Linked DNA regions of Daphnia pulex. The protein of the gene in region 2 purifies or fractionates together with the protein of the main gene of each other region. This does not show direct contact. Links are inferred from orthologs where the notes say so. Each region holds a gene or a part of one and is shown on either strand. Other genes may lie near its edges. The genes, in order: U2 small nuclear ribonucleoprotein A'-like, U2 snRNP-associated SURP motif-containing protein-like and calcium homeostasis endoplasmic reticulum protein-like.

Region 1 (5,403 bases), on a different chromosome or scaffold from region 2:
ATCCAAGGCTGTGAGATCACCTTTGAAGATTATTAAACAAGGACCAGATCTCAGACCTAAAAATTCTAGGAGGACAGAACCTTCCGTGTTTGGTATGTTTAAAATGAGCTTGTTGGTATTTTTAAACAGACAGTGGATTGACTTCTTTTATGATTAATAAAGGTTGTACTGCAATCAATACAAGATGGATATAGATCGTGTCTCGCATAATAGAGAAGGAGTAAACGATTCATTCAACATTATGATTCGACGTAAATTAAAGGAGAACAACTTCAAAGCAGTGCTGAAAACATCCTAGACTTAAACACGGATTCTTGACTACGATGACACAGGAGCGGCCCACTACTCCAAAATGACCAATCAAATTCCAGTATTGGATTTCAACGACACATTCTTACTTTACTTAGTTTTCAGAACCCGCATAACGGAGAAATTAATTTAAATATTCCACGGACATAAAATTGTCCAATACAATTTTCCGGTAAAAAACTTCCCCTACAAATCCTAAGAATTTGCAACTATGTTGGGATGGATTGGTGCAAATATGCAAACATTCGTACAATTATTTTGTCTTAATTTCATATCTTCTCCTATCTAGCTCATTCCATATTGGCTATAACATTTTTCTATCTTGAATATTAGCTACAACTGTGATGTTTCAAGGTAAACGTACTCTGCCTATCTTGCCTTCTGAAAACTACCTACTTAAATAAGAATACAACTGTTGGAAAATTTAAAATGGCAAAAAACTTAAACGAAGTAAATAGATAGCAAAATATGCATTTTTTCCAAGTAGATTTTATTGAAAAATCAGGTCATCTCTTTTTTAATTTTTAAAAGCTATGTAGAACTTTCCGGGTCCATGTAAAGTTCTTGGTTGCGTCGTTTAAATTTCTTTACGGTAGTAGGTACATCTTGATCATCTACTTTAGCACTTGAATCGTTTTCATCCAAAATCCCTCCTAAGGGAGCTTCCTTTTCCGCAGTATGTGGTTCTTCCTCATGTGTTTCATTTTGCGGCTGCGGTAAACTCATTTTACTTCTCTTCAGCGGTTTGGTATCGACAAAGAATATACCATTGTCCTGCCCAGCTACCTCCTCAGTATGGTCACCTGTCTCTTCTTCTTCATCGTCATCTTCAAGAGCAATTTCGTCTGGATTAACTACGGGAGCAGTGAGGATAATCGGTTTCCCAATCAATTTTTCGAGGGGATCGTCGATACCAAGCTTTTCGCAAAATTGTGTAGTTTGAGGATTCAATTGCGCTTGTGCTTGCTGAGCATTTCTGTTGTAATTTGGTCGAGGCTTAAATGGTTCAGCAGTTAAGGAGAAATTTGACGGAATTTTGTAGTCGTTGTCAAAGATAGTTTTCACTTGTTCTATTTCTTCTTCGTTTGGATTAAAGTTCCATCTTACATAAAAAAAGGTCAGCATCCATAAAAATAAAAACTAATGCTTTTGTGTCACCTTTCAGTGCATCCAGGACCTCCACTTGGCATGTACTGAGTAGTTGGACGAACACTCATTAAATGGTTAGTTGACCGAAGAATTGCTAACCAATGCGGATCATAACACAACTCCAAATTTTGGGTGGAATCATGTGGAATTTCCACCAACTTTTAGATATACCCAACAGTTAAATTGTTAAATTTTTCGAGAATATTCTGAATTAAATCTTACTTCAAGGTACTGACGTCTTGGAAGACACTTATCAAGTGCTAGAAATTGAGTTGATTGTTTTTCATTATGTTGGATTGTAGCAGCAAACCTACAATGAAGGTGGGCAGCAAACCAATGTTTAGGCTTCAATTCGTGAAGTAATGTTTCTCCAGCTTGACTTCCCAATACATTTTGGGCTATCTCATCACTGGAAGGGGAAAGAAAGAAATGTGTAAATTGAATTGTGTTTTGGAACAATTAGGTAACACTATTTCAAACCGAAAGAATGGTTTCCAATGCAGAAGTTCTCTGGTATCTGCATAATTGTAGACACCACGAGGCCAATCATGTGAAATAAAAATATCTATGTCTTCTTTTAACTGAAAATTAAAAGACATTTAAGTTTTTAATCTTTAAAACAATCAAAATGTAATTACCTGTTTCAAGCGAAATACTTCAAGACTACGAACATGATAAGCTGATCTCATAGTGCTGTTTGTGTAGGGAGGTTTTTCAAAATGTCCTTTCAAGTAATCATGTCCTTTAAAGATGCCTGATATTCCCGCTATTCTGATGCCACCAAACTTGACTACACCAGCATAGCCAAGATAATATATATTTGGAGCAACCCAGCCTCCATATGCAAGTTCTTGTAGATAGTTTGATGCTTCATGATTGCCTCCAATGAAAATAGTTAAAATTGGTGCTTTCAATTCACCATTATAATACCTGATATTGAAAAAAACAGTAACAATTACAATAAACTCTTATTTGTCTAAAACAATTATAAATAAATACTTGTAGAATGTACAGATATGACGGAATTTGTCAGGTACTGCCATGCATTGTAAGTCACTTTCGTTTCGAACAGCTTGAAAATCTCCACAACAGATGAGCAAATCAACTTTGACATTTCTTTGCCTCGCCAAATTCTCGACAGACCGGTAAATTTGATCAAGTTCACCATGAGCGCACCCTTCAACAGCAATAATCATGTTTTATACTGTCTTTAACTTGATATTTTAAGATAAATGTCAAATGCTGTTTCAAAGTTGATAACTTGCTTTCAAGTTACAACACAAACTCAATATTTTGAAGTTGTTTACAGTTTTACTGGAAGCCGAATCGTTCGTGGCTATTGTCGTCTGCTTAAAACCTAGCGGCAAAAACACAGCCATTTTCATATATTTTCTAACGTTTATAATTTTTTTTAATTTTGTTGACAAATTTAAATACTTTAGTTTAGAAAAGTATTTATATTTCAAGATAAAAAGCTACAGATGCACAAAACCTTTGATAAAACTTTAGTTTGAAAAGTTAATTTCCTGTTTGGAAATGTATTCGGAAATGAGTTGCAACATCGCACATGGCGTCACTTAGATATCCCTAGATTTGTCAACTACAAACGTGCAAAAACATTTTGTTCAAGTTTTAATTGCATCTTTTCCCAAATTCAATTACGTGTTTAAGGTTTAAAAAGCCAAAAAGAAAATGGTGAAGTTGACGGCTGAGGTCATTCACTTGAGCCACCAGTACACGAATGCCATCAAAGAAAGAGAACTAGATTTAAGAGGTATGTAACCGGCGTTCAGCTTCAATCTCATTCAGTCAGTTACTAAAGTTCAAAAGTTTTTTGTGTTGGCTTAAAAAAAGTGATGTAATTGTAAAAATATTTCGTGAAAATACAGCTATTTTTTGTCATCATTTTAGGTTACAAGATTCCTGTAATTGAAAACCTAGGAGCAACTTTAGTAAGTAAATTTGTAGTGTAATCATGCTGAACAGTTACTGGAGTGTTTTCTTTTTTCAGGATCAGTTTGACACAATAGATTTTTCAGATAATGACATAAGGAAATTGGATGGTTTTCCCTTGCTGAGACGAATTAAAAGTCTTCTCCTAAACAACAACAGAATCTTGTAAGTTTTTTGTTGTATTATTCACAAATTTAATTTCATGCAAATGATTCTTTAAAATCTGTAGACGCATTGCTGATGGATTAGGTGAAGTCATTCCAAACCTCGAAACCCTTGTCCTGACAAATAATCATCTGCAAGAGTTGGGCGACCTTGACCCATTAGCAGAATTCTCTAAACTCACCTATTTAAGTCTACTGAGCAATCCTGTTGCAAATAAGCAACATTATCGTTCATATGTGATAAACAAGTTGCCAAGCCTGAGGGTGTTGGATTTTCGTAAAGTAAAACTTAAGGTAATAATGTTCTACCTGACATCAGGAATTTTCCTCCTTATTCATGTAAAACTTGATTTGAAGGAGAGAGAAGCCGCCCGAGACCTATTCAAATCAAAGAAAGGAAAAGTATTGGCGAAAGAAATCGCCCAGAAAAGCAAGTTTCTTTCAGCTGAAGCGGGAAATAAGGCACCGATAGGTAAAAAACACAAATGTTTTGTTTTGTTAGCCTAAGAAATGTTATTAAATTATTTTGTGTAGGTGGTGCATCTGCGGAGGAGGCTCGTGCAATCCGAGAAGCTGTTGCTAATGCCTCCACCTTGGAAGAGGTAGAACGTCTAAACCAAATGTTGAGGGCAGGTGTCGTACCTGGAAAAGCCACCCAAGGCTCCAGCAAAAACGGAAATGCAAATGGTAAATTCACATCCTGTCTTCAACTTCCTTGTTTCGTTTGTTAAAACTTTTGAATTGTTGTAGGTGAAGATATGGAGGAGGAAGAAGATGAACCCATGGAGAAATGACAATGCCATCACGGGTAAAAATTAATTTGTATCAAGCTGTTAATGTGAATGTGGGACTACACTTTGATAATAAAAATATCGCTACCCTAGAGTAAATAAGGTAGCAGAAAGATATTTTTGAAATTACAAATTGCCCGTCTAATTTGTGTCACAGTTAAAAGACCGAGAAGCGATTAAATTTGGTCATTTTAACAAAACTGTGTTGTGAAAAATGCGTAGCGAAACCAATTTTCAGTCATAGAATTAGATATGCTACATAGTGTGTATATCCTACGTGTATTCGGAAGAGGCTCATCTGCCATTTGCGGAATGAGTCATGCATAGAAGGCGGATGTGGGGGTGTGCGTTATTTTCAGCCGGACATGACGGGTTAGGAGTAGCTTGGAAACTGTAGACGATCTAATTTAGAGCGTTTCGTGTCCTTTCATTAACGAGCGTGCCCGTGCGTAAGTTTCGTTGTTTTGAGTAAGATTTTTGGCGCCCACTCCTATTTTTCCCGATACCACATCCGGAATATCATGAGCTAACACCGCCATGATGATGTGATAATGGCAGCAAACTTGGTTTGTAGGTTACAACTTACAGCTATACGAAAATCCAGAACTGATCGTTTTAAGTTCAAAATTCTACTAATATTTACAAATAAATCATTAGTATTTGATAATATCCAATACCATCGTTGGAGTCTTCACCGATAAAAAATGTGTTGAATGAATACAGCATAATTCGTTAGTACATGGAAGATATCGGGTTTTCTCTTACAGATAAGTAACAAGAAAAAAAACAAGAAACTTTTCTTATTTTTTTTTTATGTGGTGTTGGCTTAAGGTTGTAAGAAAGCTACAAATTTGAGAGAGAGCCGAGTTTTAAGCTTTTTCGACAGTGAATGGGCGGGGCTTATGTTAGTCGTCTGCTATTCGTTTGTACTCTTGTGGCTCTCTATTCTCGAAAGACTTGACGCACAGTGAAAGCTGAACAGTCAGTGGTGTTTCATTCGTGGCTTGAGTAAGACACGAAGAAAGGTTTGTGTTACA
Region 2 (5,039 bases):
GATTTACATACCGCCAGCATTACTTGAAAAAACGCTTCCTCCACCACCAACCGGCTTGCCTTTTAATGCAATACCCTCCCCACAAGATATTGATCAGGTATGGCTGGTATGCAGTACCTTAGATGTTCTTTCAAACATAATTGAAATTAATATTTCCCTTGTCACAGATCCCGCCACCCGGAACACCCTACCCAACACACGGCGAGGCGTTGGAGAACTTCAACAAGGTATTGGGGGATGGGCTAAGCTATTTCAATCAACCCAGCAATATGACTGACACAAGACTCGAGACTTTTTATCCGCCTGTTCCGGCATTGTTACTCATGGTCGGCGGATAAAAAGAAGCGAGTGCTTTGTGTGCGGTCGCTTCGTTGGGAGGTCTCATCTTTTCTATTTGTGTTCTTCGGCGGAAAGCGATGAAACCCAGCCAAAAATTTGTTTTCATGCGTTGCATTCGTTTGGCTAGTGAAGACCGTTGTTCGTGTCTCACTGCTCTCATACTATTGTGTGTTTGGAAATATGTTGATGTTTCACCCGGGTTTGCTGCTTCTCTCGCAGATTATATCCAGGGCTGTTGTCAAAGTGGTTATCCCTACAGACAGGTATGTAACAAAGATCAAGCCTCATAATACCTTGAAGCTGCGCGGCTGTGTGACATTACCCTGCTCCCTCCGAGCCCCAGGGAGTATACACGTTTTGTCACGAAGGAACAACACATTGTTCTTTTCATTCTTCCAATGCGACTATTCCTTAAGTCTTATTTAATTCCTTTGTAAACTTTTAACTAACACTCGGAATGCTTGACCAAAAAAAAAAAGAAAGAAATTTTGCTTTTTCAATTGACCCACTTCTTTTAAATCATCGAACAAAATTTTTTAAGTCGGTAGCTAATCTTAACATTTTCATTTTTATCACCACGTAAATCTGTACGATTGACATTTGTGCGTGTCATACGTATGTTGAACTTGGTTTTCTGGAACTGGCGTACACAGAAATTTGTTGTGTTTGATTCATCGAATGATCGAATCTGTTGTTCGAGAGGGCCCAATGCTTGAGGCCATGGTGATGAACAAGGAAATTGATAACCAGCAATTCAGGTACCTAAATTGTCTTTTCTAAAAATGTTGTTGGATAGTAATTATTATTTCTTTTTTACTTTTGCAATCAGGTTTCTATTTGAAAACCGGAGTCCAGCTCACATTTACTATCGCTGGAAATTGTTCTCAATCCTACAAGGCGAGTCTGGTAATGTGTGGTCCACAGAAGACTTTCGCATGTTTAAAGGTAAAATTTCTTTTTATTCTGTAAATTATCCAGCGCTCATTTTTAAAAATTAATAGGCGGTTCCATCTGGAAACCCCCGTCTATGAACCCGTTTTCTGAGGGCATGCCAGACGAACTTTTCTCGTCCGACGAGGAAGATGATGAGAGTCGCCGACGATCGCTCAGCAAATCGTATTTACTACAATTATTTTTTCTAATTCATTAAGCAATTCTAATTTACGTTCAAATCCATAGTCAAAAGAAACGACTAGAATTGATGTTGAGAAAATTGACTCCTGAAAAATCCAAAGTAGCGGAAGCTATGATTTTTTGCATCGAGCACGCCGAAGCTTACGAGGAAATCATCGATTTCGTTACCGAGTCACTCAATAGTGTCAAAACCTATATTCCTCAAAAGGTAATTTAAGTCGTGACTTCCAAGTTGGAAGAAACCTACTTAATTTAATCTTGTTTTTGTTTTTTTCAGTTGGGAAGATTTTTTTTGGTATCAGACGTCCTTTACAACTCGTCTGCAAAGGCGGTCAATGCTTCCAGTTTCCGTTCGGGATTCCAGTCACACATGGTGGAAATAGTCAATTATATGCATCAAGCGTACGAGGCGACCGAGAGCCGATTGAAAGCCGAAGCTTTTCGACAACGAGTTATGCTCTGCTTTCGAGCTTGGGAAGAATGGAATGTCTATCCAGCCGAATTCCTCATTCATTTGCAAAATGTCTTTCTGGGCCTTGTCTCTGTAAGTTTTTTTTTTTTTCTATTTTTAAATCTTTCCAACACTTCATTAATTATTTTGATTTCTTTAAAGGCCGATCAAGATGTTTCTCAACGGACTTCAGGCAACGTTGAAGACGTCGACGGCATTCCACTTGACGATGCAGAAGCAATCGACGGAGCTCCACTCAGTGATTCCGAAGATTTGGATGGTTTATTTCAAATACAAGTTTTTGAAGTACAAGTAATTTAATAATTTTTTCTTTTTTCAGGTGTACCTTTGGACGGTGCGGCTCTTTTGAGGAGTGCAGTCAAACTCCAAACTAGTTCTCCAGCTCGTTCATTTACAGTTACGAAATCAAACAAATATGACGCTGATTTTGATGGAGTGCCTAGTAAAATTGATTTTTATAATAATTAATTAATTCACCTATTAAAATTTTTATAAATGTTATTAGTGTCTGAAGATTTGGACGGAGTCCCGATAAAAAGCTCGTCTTCACCGGTAGTGCGAAGAGACCGGAGACGTGAAACTAAGTCATCATCAACTTCCAAATGGGAAACACCGGCGCCGGTTGTAGCCACTAGCAAGTGGGACAATATCGACCCCGATTCAGAGTCAAATGAGCCGTCAAGAAAAAAGAGTAGAGCCAAACATAATGAGGACATCTTTGCGGATCTGGAGAGCACTAAACAAAGAGGAGCTGCTTCAGATGAAGATCTCGACGGTGCGCCCCTTGACTCGTCACCAGAGGCAACGCGACACAGCTCCGGTTCTAGGTAGTAATTGTTAATTACAATACATTTTGCTTGACCGACTCCCAATTTTGTCTGAATGTTTTAGGAATGAGGATCAACGTGGGAAACTGCGAGAGCTTGAACTGAAAGTCGTTCGCTACCAAGATGAACTCGAAGCCGGACTACATAATCAGATTCCGGGCATGTCAGTTTCAGAACAAGTTCAACAATACCGCGAACATCTTTTACGCAAGGTTAAAAAGAATAGATTCTTTATATCTAATACTTGGTATAAATTGGCGATGTTAATCACTGGTTCCCTTCTTTGATTTCGTGTTACAGTCAAAACGGGATCGTTCCCAAGAAACAGTTGACGGTCGAGATCGCGAATCTAGAGAACGGCGCACGCCTCACAGTACCGAGAAATCAGATCGTGGTTCTGGTCGACAGGCAACTGACAGGGAACGTTATAAAGAAAAAGATAGACGACGTTCAATTTCCAGATCAAGGTCTCGTTCCAGATCGCCAAGAAAGTAAGTCGAAACTTCGTTTGACATTTGAACACGCCCAAATTTGACATTTGACCCCACCCCAAATGAATGATTTGTTGGCCATCCGTGTAATTATGCTGCCTTTAGGTCATCGCGATCAAAACGAACGAGATCATCGAGGTCGTCCAGTCCGAGTCACACTTTACGAAGAACCCCCCGGAGGTATGATGATTCATCCGCAGCGTGTCGATAGATTTCGTGATTAAAAGGACTGCTGCGTGCAGAGTCCTTTTATAGCGTTTACCGAATACTACCATTACTACTACTACTACTAAATGGATGATGATTACATTTTATAGGTCAAGATCAAAAAGCGATGACTCGTCGAAACGATCTCGCCGCTCTCGAAGCCGTTCGACTTCTCCACGAAGGCCGTCTAAGAACCAGAAGAAATCCAAAAATTTGAAATGAAACGATTCGACTGCTGTTTGGTGGTGCAGTTTTCCAAATTTCGTGTTCCCTCGGATGTTGTTCAACTTTTGCTTTTTTTGGTATTCAATACAATCTGCCTTCTAGCGGTATCCAACAGCCGTCGTTTCGTGGCCAGTTGTCGTATAGACCGATCGGGAATTCGACTGTTTACCCCTGCGTGCCCCTGTGTGTGTGTGTGGGAGCAAATACCTGGTTAACGAGACGAACCTGGTCGGCGGTCGTTGGCCGGGACGACGTCCTCGTTTTTAAATCCCTCTCACACTTATACGTGAACGCACTTGGGACGCGTCACAGATGTTTACGCTGTCTGCAGTTGAAGTCCGAGCCGGGCAACACAACTCTGGCCTTGCTGCTCACCTACTTCCACACATGGATCTATATTGTTTTTGCTTTTTCCCAGGTTTCGTATACTAGTGAGTCTCTCCAAAAATAGAGGTTATGTGCAAATCACCCTTCGGAGAATGACACACACGTCTCTACCACATTCTGGCCACACACACACACACATACACACCAGATGGTATCACACACAAGTAAACGAGGGCGAGGAGCACACACAACAAACGGAAAAGAATACAGTTTGGAATCGCTTATGTTTCAGCAAATGGTGGAATTTTTTTTTATTGTTACAGCCACAGGAAACCGAGACAAACAAGAAAATAATAAAAATTAAAAATAAAAAAAATAAGAAAAGAGGGCAAGGAAGAAAAAAAAAATCGGTGGGGTTCTGCCACAGGAAGAATCCGCCACCGAAGAAGAGGGATTTTTTTTCTCAAATTGGCAGAGCAAAGGAAAAAATAGTTTGGATACTGATACACACACAAACACGCGCGCGCGAATCTTTTATTATTTCTTAATTGCAAAAGGGGAGCACAGTTTGATGACGAAAATAAGAAGATGGTACAAGAGGACCCATTAGTAATATAAGAAAAAAGAAAAAAAAAGAAGTCTCGGTTACGATGCATTCCATGGCTGGAATAAGTGAAAAAAAAAGAGGAGCTATAAAGGGGGGATTGGGCGGGCACGTGAAGCTGTAGAGAGAGAGAGAGAGAGAGATAAAGGAGGGAGGGGCGCTAGAAGTTGCTTTCCAGCTGAAGAAGATCAGTGAACCCAACAGGAAGAAGAGCTAACGATCTAAACAAACAGTTGGAAGGTGTGACATGTAAGCTAGACGAGGGGGGAGGAAAGCCGGTTGGAAATTTTCAATGTCGAGTGGTGAGGACATGAGTGACGTTGTGGTAGTAGTTTATCGAGTCGTCGCTACTATTTGAAACTAAACTTTCAGACATTTGCCATGCCTGTATACAACCACAGCGGCCCATCCAA
Region 3 (6,340 bases), about 5.3 Mb from region 2:
ACACGGGTTCCATCACGCTCGGCTGTTGCTGAGGCGGGACGATGATGGGAATCCCCAGTTTCTCAGAAGGGCAACTGGCCGCCCTTCCGGCGGATTGGTGGAGTTTGATTAGTTCGCGCTCGCGACGCTCCTGCTGCTCCAGTTGTTGTCGCTGAAGTTGCTGTTTCAATTGGGTCCGTGACGGTTGGGTCGTCGGGGACGAGCGCGGATGCGGTGGACGTCCTGTGACCCGATCCGGCTGTAGCGGATAAGGTGGCGGTGGTTGCTTGATTGTTTCCTGAATCGCCGATTGAATATTGCCAGGCTGCTGTTCCCAAATGAATGGATCACTTTCGAGGATCATTGCCAATTCGTCGTCGATGCCAGGGCCTTTTGTCCTGTGGCACGTGGAAGTGCCCGGACTGGATTGGACTGACGACAGGGGGCTCGGCGACGGTGTTTGGAACGGCGTTGCATAAGGGCTGACGTAGGGCGAATGGTAAGGCGTTTGGTAAGGCGTCAGTCCGCCAGGATAGGGCGGAGGAGGAGCCTGACGTGGACTAAGGTAGTTGCTGGACTGGTAGATTCCGCCTTGACCGGATATGGCGTTGGGCCCGGACATGGTCACCGTGATGCTGGTATCTGATCGAGCACCACCAGCACAAGTGTAGTTGGGCTGTTCCAGTAACAAACTGCACCCGATGGCACTTAGATCCATGAATTTAGTCTCGTCGTTCAATTCCGCTTTGACTGACATGGTCGTCCGAGCGGAATCCGAGCCTTCCCGGCAGCCAATGTGGCACAACGCATGCCTCGTCTCACGATTCAGCTATCGTCTGCCAGACTCGCATCTCATTCCTCTCACTCCGCAACGTCGGAATACGAAGTTGATTGAAGGTCAACTTTTTTTCAAAAAAGGGCTCGTGTTTTGGCATATGAATCAAACACAACACCCAACCATCTCGGCGCCATTCGACGAGCTACTGGACCTCCCTCCGGATCTCTGAAAATCGAGTGGAAGAAATAAAATGTTGTTTTGAATGATTTGGATCAAATTGAAACGAAAGAGCACTTTACACAATCAGTCAAAAATATTTTGGGTTATTTCATTTCCACTTGAACAAATACACTTATTTCGATTCACACACAATCTGTCGAATTCTTTCCAACGCCAACGACTTTTTTCCTCCAATTATTTTAATATTAGAACAAGGAAGAAGATTTTGTATGCGGCCGATTTGCTCACGACCCGATCGCCGACTAACTTTGCCCACGAAAAACTGGCAAATTTGTTTGTTTTTAGTTTGAATTTTTCTTTTTCCTACACGACGCGCTTCTCATTTTCTTTCTGGTCTGGTGTTCGCCCTTTTTTTCGCAGTTGCTTCCAAATATTTTAAAACTTGGCTCAAGTTGGATGCAGTGTGCTACTATTTTGGGCGCCATACACACACACTCGCATACACACACACACACACACACACACTGCTGATGTATATTATTGGCATTCGCAGCCGCCCACTCAAGCTATTATGTTACCCGAACGGTCGAGAACGGAAATAGGAAGAAGAACAGGCGAAAAAAATGGTCTTCCACTGGTCATCATTGCCCCGAAACACTGTCATATTAAAAAAGAGGTAGTTCATCTGGGACAAAGAGTTATGATATTTGGTGTGTCTTTTGTTGCGACACATCGTTCGATTGGGACCCTGCCAAGAACGCATTTTGAAATAGCGAAGAAAAAGCGAACTGTCCGTTTGAGAGTTGATGTATCTATTCATGTGTGCTACTGCTGTAATTGTTGGTTGACCGATTACTTTGCGTGTGATGACACGACCTGCAGCGCGAGAGAGAGAGTCAGACTCCCCCCCAGCGAGACGAGGAAAGAGATTGGAACTTAACGCGTCAACACATCATATCAACCTTTAATTATGTGGAAAACGAGTTTGAATTACAAAGAAGCATATACTCATAAATATGGAAAGCTGCATTCGATGTATACAAACAAGAAATTTTTCCCCAATTGAAATTCTTGTCACACGTTAGGGAATTTACTATTCGCACCGAACTTCACGCCATCTAGTTTAGCAAAAACGCACCGTTTACTAGACTCTGGCGGAATTCAACACGAACTATTAATGCCGGCATCGAAACAATTCACAGTTGCATATGTATGTGTGTTTTTGATTGCCTAAAGTTTAATTAAAGTTTTAAAACATAAAACTCTGCAATGGATCTACCTCGTCCTCCCGAAGGTAATAACCGTTTAAATTGAAAAATCTCCTCATCAATTTGTTCACAACAAATATTTTTATAGACATAGAACTGCGCAACATTATTGACAAGTTAGCTCAATTTGTGGCGAGAAATGGTCCCGAATTTGAGCAAATGACGAAAAACAAACAACGAGATAACCCCAAGTTTGGTTTCCTGTTTGGTGGGGAACTTTTCAACTACTACCAGTACCGTGTGACAACAGAGCAAGCAATTAACAAGCAAAAGTTTGTCCGAGAGCAAAGTCAACCCATGAGCTATCCAATCAACTATGGCCCACCGCCTAATACAGAACATCCCAGTTTCAATAGGAATTACAACTATGGCCCTTCTTCTGCATGGCCTAGGGCTCACCCACAGCCATCAATGCCCAATCAGATGTCATTTCCTGGACAAAATCCCATCCCTCCTCAAACAGATTTGATTGCTTTAAAAGGTGCAAAAGATGTACTCGTTGCCCAACAAACTCAACTGCAGGAACAGGTAAACATACTCCAGATCATATCAAAAATAGTAAATACTAATTGGTTTGGTTCACCAGATCAAACAAAGTGAAAGCAACTTGGCCGCTCAACATCAAGTGACAGTGCAACAGCAGAAAAAGCAGACAGAGGAAACAGTCAAGTTGCAACACGAAAAAGAAGTCATGGAAAAAGCGTTGGCAAGTGGAATGAATTTGGCAGAGTTAGAATTGCTTTTACTGCCTATCATGGATTCTTGCACCAAAGAATCCATATCTCAGGGTAAAGCTTGGATTCTCCATCATGTGATGCAGCCTCATTCATCCTCTGATGCCATAGCACAATATCTCCTTTTCAAAACAACTCAAAGCAGTAAGTTTTCCTCTGTTGTGGCTACTTGGCATTGCCTGAGCATTTTTTTTTCTTTCTGAATCAACAGGTCAATTTACCCACAAACTTCACTTGATCTATTTGGTCAACGACGTGTTACACCATTGTCTCCGCAAAGGACCCGACACGCTTTTAAAGACACTCGAACAAGTTGTCGTCCACATGTTTTCAAACACTAGTCTGTCTGCAACCGACGAGGAGCAAAACGCCAAATTGCAAAAACTGGTCGTTTTGTGGCAAACGAAAAATAATTTGTTTGAGCGTGGTGTCCTGGAAAGGTTACACGCACCTTTACACATCTGGAATGAATACCACAACAGTCTAGTGGCCAAATACTCGGCAGCCGTAGCAGCTTCAACTAGCAACATTCAGCATACGTACGAAAACTACCGCGGCCAGCATCAAGCCTTCGTCAATCATGCCAACCACCAGATTCAGCAGCTAGAGCAACAGAAACTGCAAATTGAAGAACAAATCGCGGCGGCCAATGCTTTGCAGTCTTTTAATGCACCTCATCACGCCATGCCGCCGGATTTCTTATCTCGCCCGCCGCCAGTTGCTTCCCTTAATGCCCCGCAAAACTACCCGTGTGAAGGAATTGAACCAAAGGCTCCCTACTTCGACTTACCAGCGGGATTACTCGTCCCACTGGTGAGAATGGAAGACAGCGAGTACAAAAGCATCGATCCGAAAGATATCCGCCTTCCTGCACCGCTCCCACCGTCTGAGCGATTGATTGCCGCCATTGATTTCTTCTACAGTCCTCTCTCGCACGACCGACCACGAAACGCAGATGGGTTCGTGATAGATTTCCTTTCTTGTTGGCTTATCATTCAAGCTTCTTCTTCTCAACTTTTCTCTTTCTTGTTTTTTTTTTTAGGTGGGAGCAGATGGCTCTTTTCGAGTTTTATAAGAACAAGGCAACTGCGAAAAAGAAGAAAGAAGAAGATATTGCTCAGGGATTACGCGACATGTCGCCGCCTCGAACTCCTATCGAAGTTGTCGAGGATCATTCCCCTGAAAGAAGTGGTAAGAATGGAATCAGAAGTCCCGTGCGTCGAAGATTCCGCAGTGAGTCGCCCGAGGAAGAGCATAGAGAAGAATCGAGGCAAGCTCGATCACGATCCAGATCGCCTAGAAATTCAACAAGACGTCGCCGAAGTCGATCTAATTCAGAGTCGCCCCGTCGAGCTGCACGCTCTCGTTCTCCTACACCTAGTCGTTCGGAATCAAGATCTAATTCGCCCGTCACGATGACCGGTTTTGCGCAAAAGCGGAGCCCCACGCCACCTTCAGAAATGTAACCAACCCCTTTTTTTTCCTTAAGTTAGGTCAATGTGATTTGGTTAAATTTGATTCGGCGTTTTGCAGTGCATCCGTGTCGTTTGCCAAAGGTTTCACGACAAAGCTGGACGAAAACAACCGAGGGCATCAACTCTTGTGCAAAATGGGTTGGGGAGGAGCTGGACTCGGCGCAAATGAACAAGGCATAGCGGAACCCATCAAAGGAGGAGAGGTATTGATCGAACGGTACTATTTTTGTGTCAACAGAATAGCGGATTGATATTTTTCGTTCTTCAGGTTCGCGATCGTTTGGACCAGTTCAAAGGTGTCGGTATCAATATACGTGATCCTTTTGAAAATTTCCGAAAAAGCAAAGGTCAGGCGTTCATCACGAGAATGCGCTCAAGGGCCGAAGAACGAGAAAAAGAAAAGGGCGGACCTGACGATCCTCCAACTCCATGAGAATTCACTCACTCTACTTTTGCTTAACTCACGAAATACAGTCGATTCGTCTATACCTTGATATCCGTTTAATGGTGACCTGAACAAGTAAGGGGGAACAGCTGTTTGACCAATTCTTCAGCGTTGACTGTAAATTCACTTTCGTCGTTTGTAGTACCAACCTAAGAAATATTAGATTGATTAAAAAAAATCGAGTCAATATAATCATGCACGCAATTTTACCATGATGGATCGAAAACCTGGGCGTGTTAAAGTCCGTCTAGACACCATGCTATGTAAAGTTAACCAAACGGACCCCGAGTGATATTTGGCTATGGCGACCAAGTTGTCCTTTGCTAAACTCTAAACAACAAACACGATACTCAATAGGATATTATTAAGAGCATAAGGAAGAATAGTTGCAAACCTGAAGTTCTGAAATCTGTTGGTTGCTGAGGTACAAAGAAATCGCTTGAACGATTTTACAAACTTCCAATACAGGTGGATCGATGAATTCAACTAGGGTGGCCATGGCGGATAGTACGGATTTTTGTAATTTGTACGACTGGCTGGCAATGTGCGCTCTGCTAGATCGGCCACGACTAGCAGTAGCCTGGCTTTGCAGGAATAGCACCAATTTATGAAGAATTTCTTTGACAGCTCGATGGCGAATAAAATCTGGGCAGCGACGAACTAATGAAAGGAAAATCTCAAACGCCTGCCTCTGTTTGAGATGTGATGTTCCCAACAGCTGATTCTTTAAAGGCTCCCAAAGTTTGTGCACTTTCGGCAAAAAAATATCTTCGTGAGAAGAAAGCACCTCTACTGATAAGCAAATGGTTTGCATCAAACTGGCGTAGAGTTTTTCTTCGGTAGATTGTGGCAATATCTTCGTGCAGCGATCCAAAATATCGGCTACAAGAGTAATTTGAGGTGGGATCACCTTTTTTTCTTCTTCGACTTCAGGATCATCGATCTGTTCCGGTTCTTCCGTATTAGCATCACAAATTTCTTCTTCTTCATTTGTTTCCAAATATGTCTCACTCAGCTTAATGTTTGCTTTGTAATCAACAATGCGCTGGATTAATTCCTCTTTTTCAAGAGTTTCGCCTTTCGATAGAGGTTTAGCGCAGGCTGGTCCGGCAGGTCTCGTGTTGTGCGCGGCTTTCGAATACAGTTCAAGTACCTGGACGTATGGAAGAGCTCGGAGAGAATGACTCTTGTCCAGTCCTTTCAAAGCATGTTCAACCATTCGTTCCAGCCAGTGTTCCATGCGAATGTCGGAAAGCATCAGTAACGCTCGGAGTAGATCAATTGCGCGCGGATATCGAACGATGTTTCGTAATTGGAAGGTCAACTGGGGTGCATAGTAGTCTGCATTCTCTTCGAGTAGCTTGGATACAGAAGTTAGACGCAATGCATCTGTCATACATTGAAGGGACCGAACTCCTGCTTCACAGAAGTCCGGATTGCCGGCTTTTTCCAACACAGGTTTCAGGGCAGTTAGCAACATG

What was found.
Region 1: the proteins of U2 snRNP-associated SURP motif-containing protein-like (region 2) and U2 small nuclear ribonucleoprotein A'-like purify together in Homo sapiens (affinity purification with mass spectrometry; 5 studies listed by BioGRID and IntAct, with this or other methods). This does not show direct contact. The link is inferred for Daphnia pulex from reciprocal best matches to the Homo sapiens genes U2SURP and SNRPA1.
Region 3: the proteins of U2 snRNP-associated SURP motif-containing protein-like (region 2) and calcium homeostasis endoplasmic reticulum protein-like purify together in Homo sapiens (affinity purification with mass spectrometry; 4 studies listed by BioGRID and IntAct, with this or other methods). This does not show direct contact. The link is inferred for Daphnia pulex from reciprocal best matches to the Homo sapiens genes U2SURP and CHERP.

What each region holds. Positions count from the first base shown.
Region 1 is NC_060021.1:10,325,354-10,330,756, reverse strand, and holds U2 small nuclear ribonucleoprotein A'-like, read left to right. Parts: upstream 1-3,007; 5' UTR 3,008-3,150; coding exon 3,151-3,232; intron 3,233-3,369; coding exon 3,370-3,410; intron 3,411-3,469; coding exon 3,470-3,576; intron 3,577-3,640; coding exon 3,641-3,869; intron 3,870-3,932; coding exon 3,933-4,047; intron 4,048-4,109; coding exon 4,110-4,262; intron 4,263-4,325; coding exon 4,326-4,369; 3' UTR 4,370-4,499; downstream 4,500-5,403. Other genes in the region: lariat debranching enzyme B-like, read right to left, coding at 841-1,411, 1,468-1,616, 1,681-1,867, 1,939-2,039, 2,097-2,388, 2,458-2,654. UniProt on the Homo sapiens protein: Involved in pre-mRNA splicing as component of the spliceosome. Associated with sn-RNP U2, where it contributes to the binding of stem loop IV of U2 snRNA.
Region 2 is NC_060023.1:3,574,040-3,579,078, forward strand, and holds the end of U2 snRNP-associated SURP motif-containing protein-like, read left to right. Parts: coding exon 1-97; intron 98-167; coding exon 168-227; intron 228-558; coding exon 559-602; intron 603-992; coding exon 993-1,097; intron 1,098-1,168; coding exon 1,169-1,284; intron 1,285-1,340; coding exon 1,341-1,455; intron 1,456-1,518; coding exon 1,519-1,681; intron 1,682-1,750; coding exon 1,751-2,017; intron 2,018-2,086; coding exon 2,087-2,204; intron 2,205-2,264; coding exon 2,265-2,387; intron 2,388-2,450; coding exon 2,451-2,772; intron 2,773-2,836; coding exon 2,837-2,984; intron 2,985-3,072; coding exon 3,073-3,263; intron 3,264-3,368; coding exon 3,369-3,443; intron 3,444-3,580; coding exon 3,581-3,692; 3' UTR 3,693-3,802; downstream 3,803-5,039.
Region 3 is NC_060023.1:8,901,710-8,908,049, forward strand, and holds calcium homeostasis endoplasmic reticulum protein-like, read left to right. Parts: upstream 1-2,092; 5' UTR 2,093-2,206; coding exon 2,207-2,231; intron 2,232-2,293; coding exon 2,294-2,733; intron 2,734-2,791; coding exon 2,792-3,083; intron 3,084-3,150; coding exon 3,151-3,898; intron 3,899-3,981; coding exon 3,982-4,401; intron 4,402-4,472; coding exon 4,473-4,617; intron 4,618-4,682; coding exon 4,683-4,847; 3' UTR 4,848-4,902; downstream 4,903-6,340. Other genes in the region: uncharacterized protein LOC124197929, read right to left, coding at 1-736; TELO2-interacting protein 1 homolog, read right to left, coding at 4,916-5,008, 5,070-5,189, 5,254-6,340. UniProt on the Homo sapiens protein: Involved in calcium homeostasis, growth and proliferation.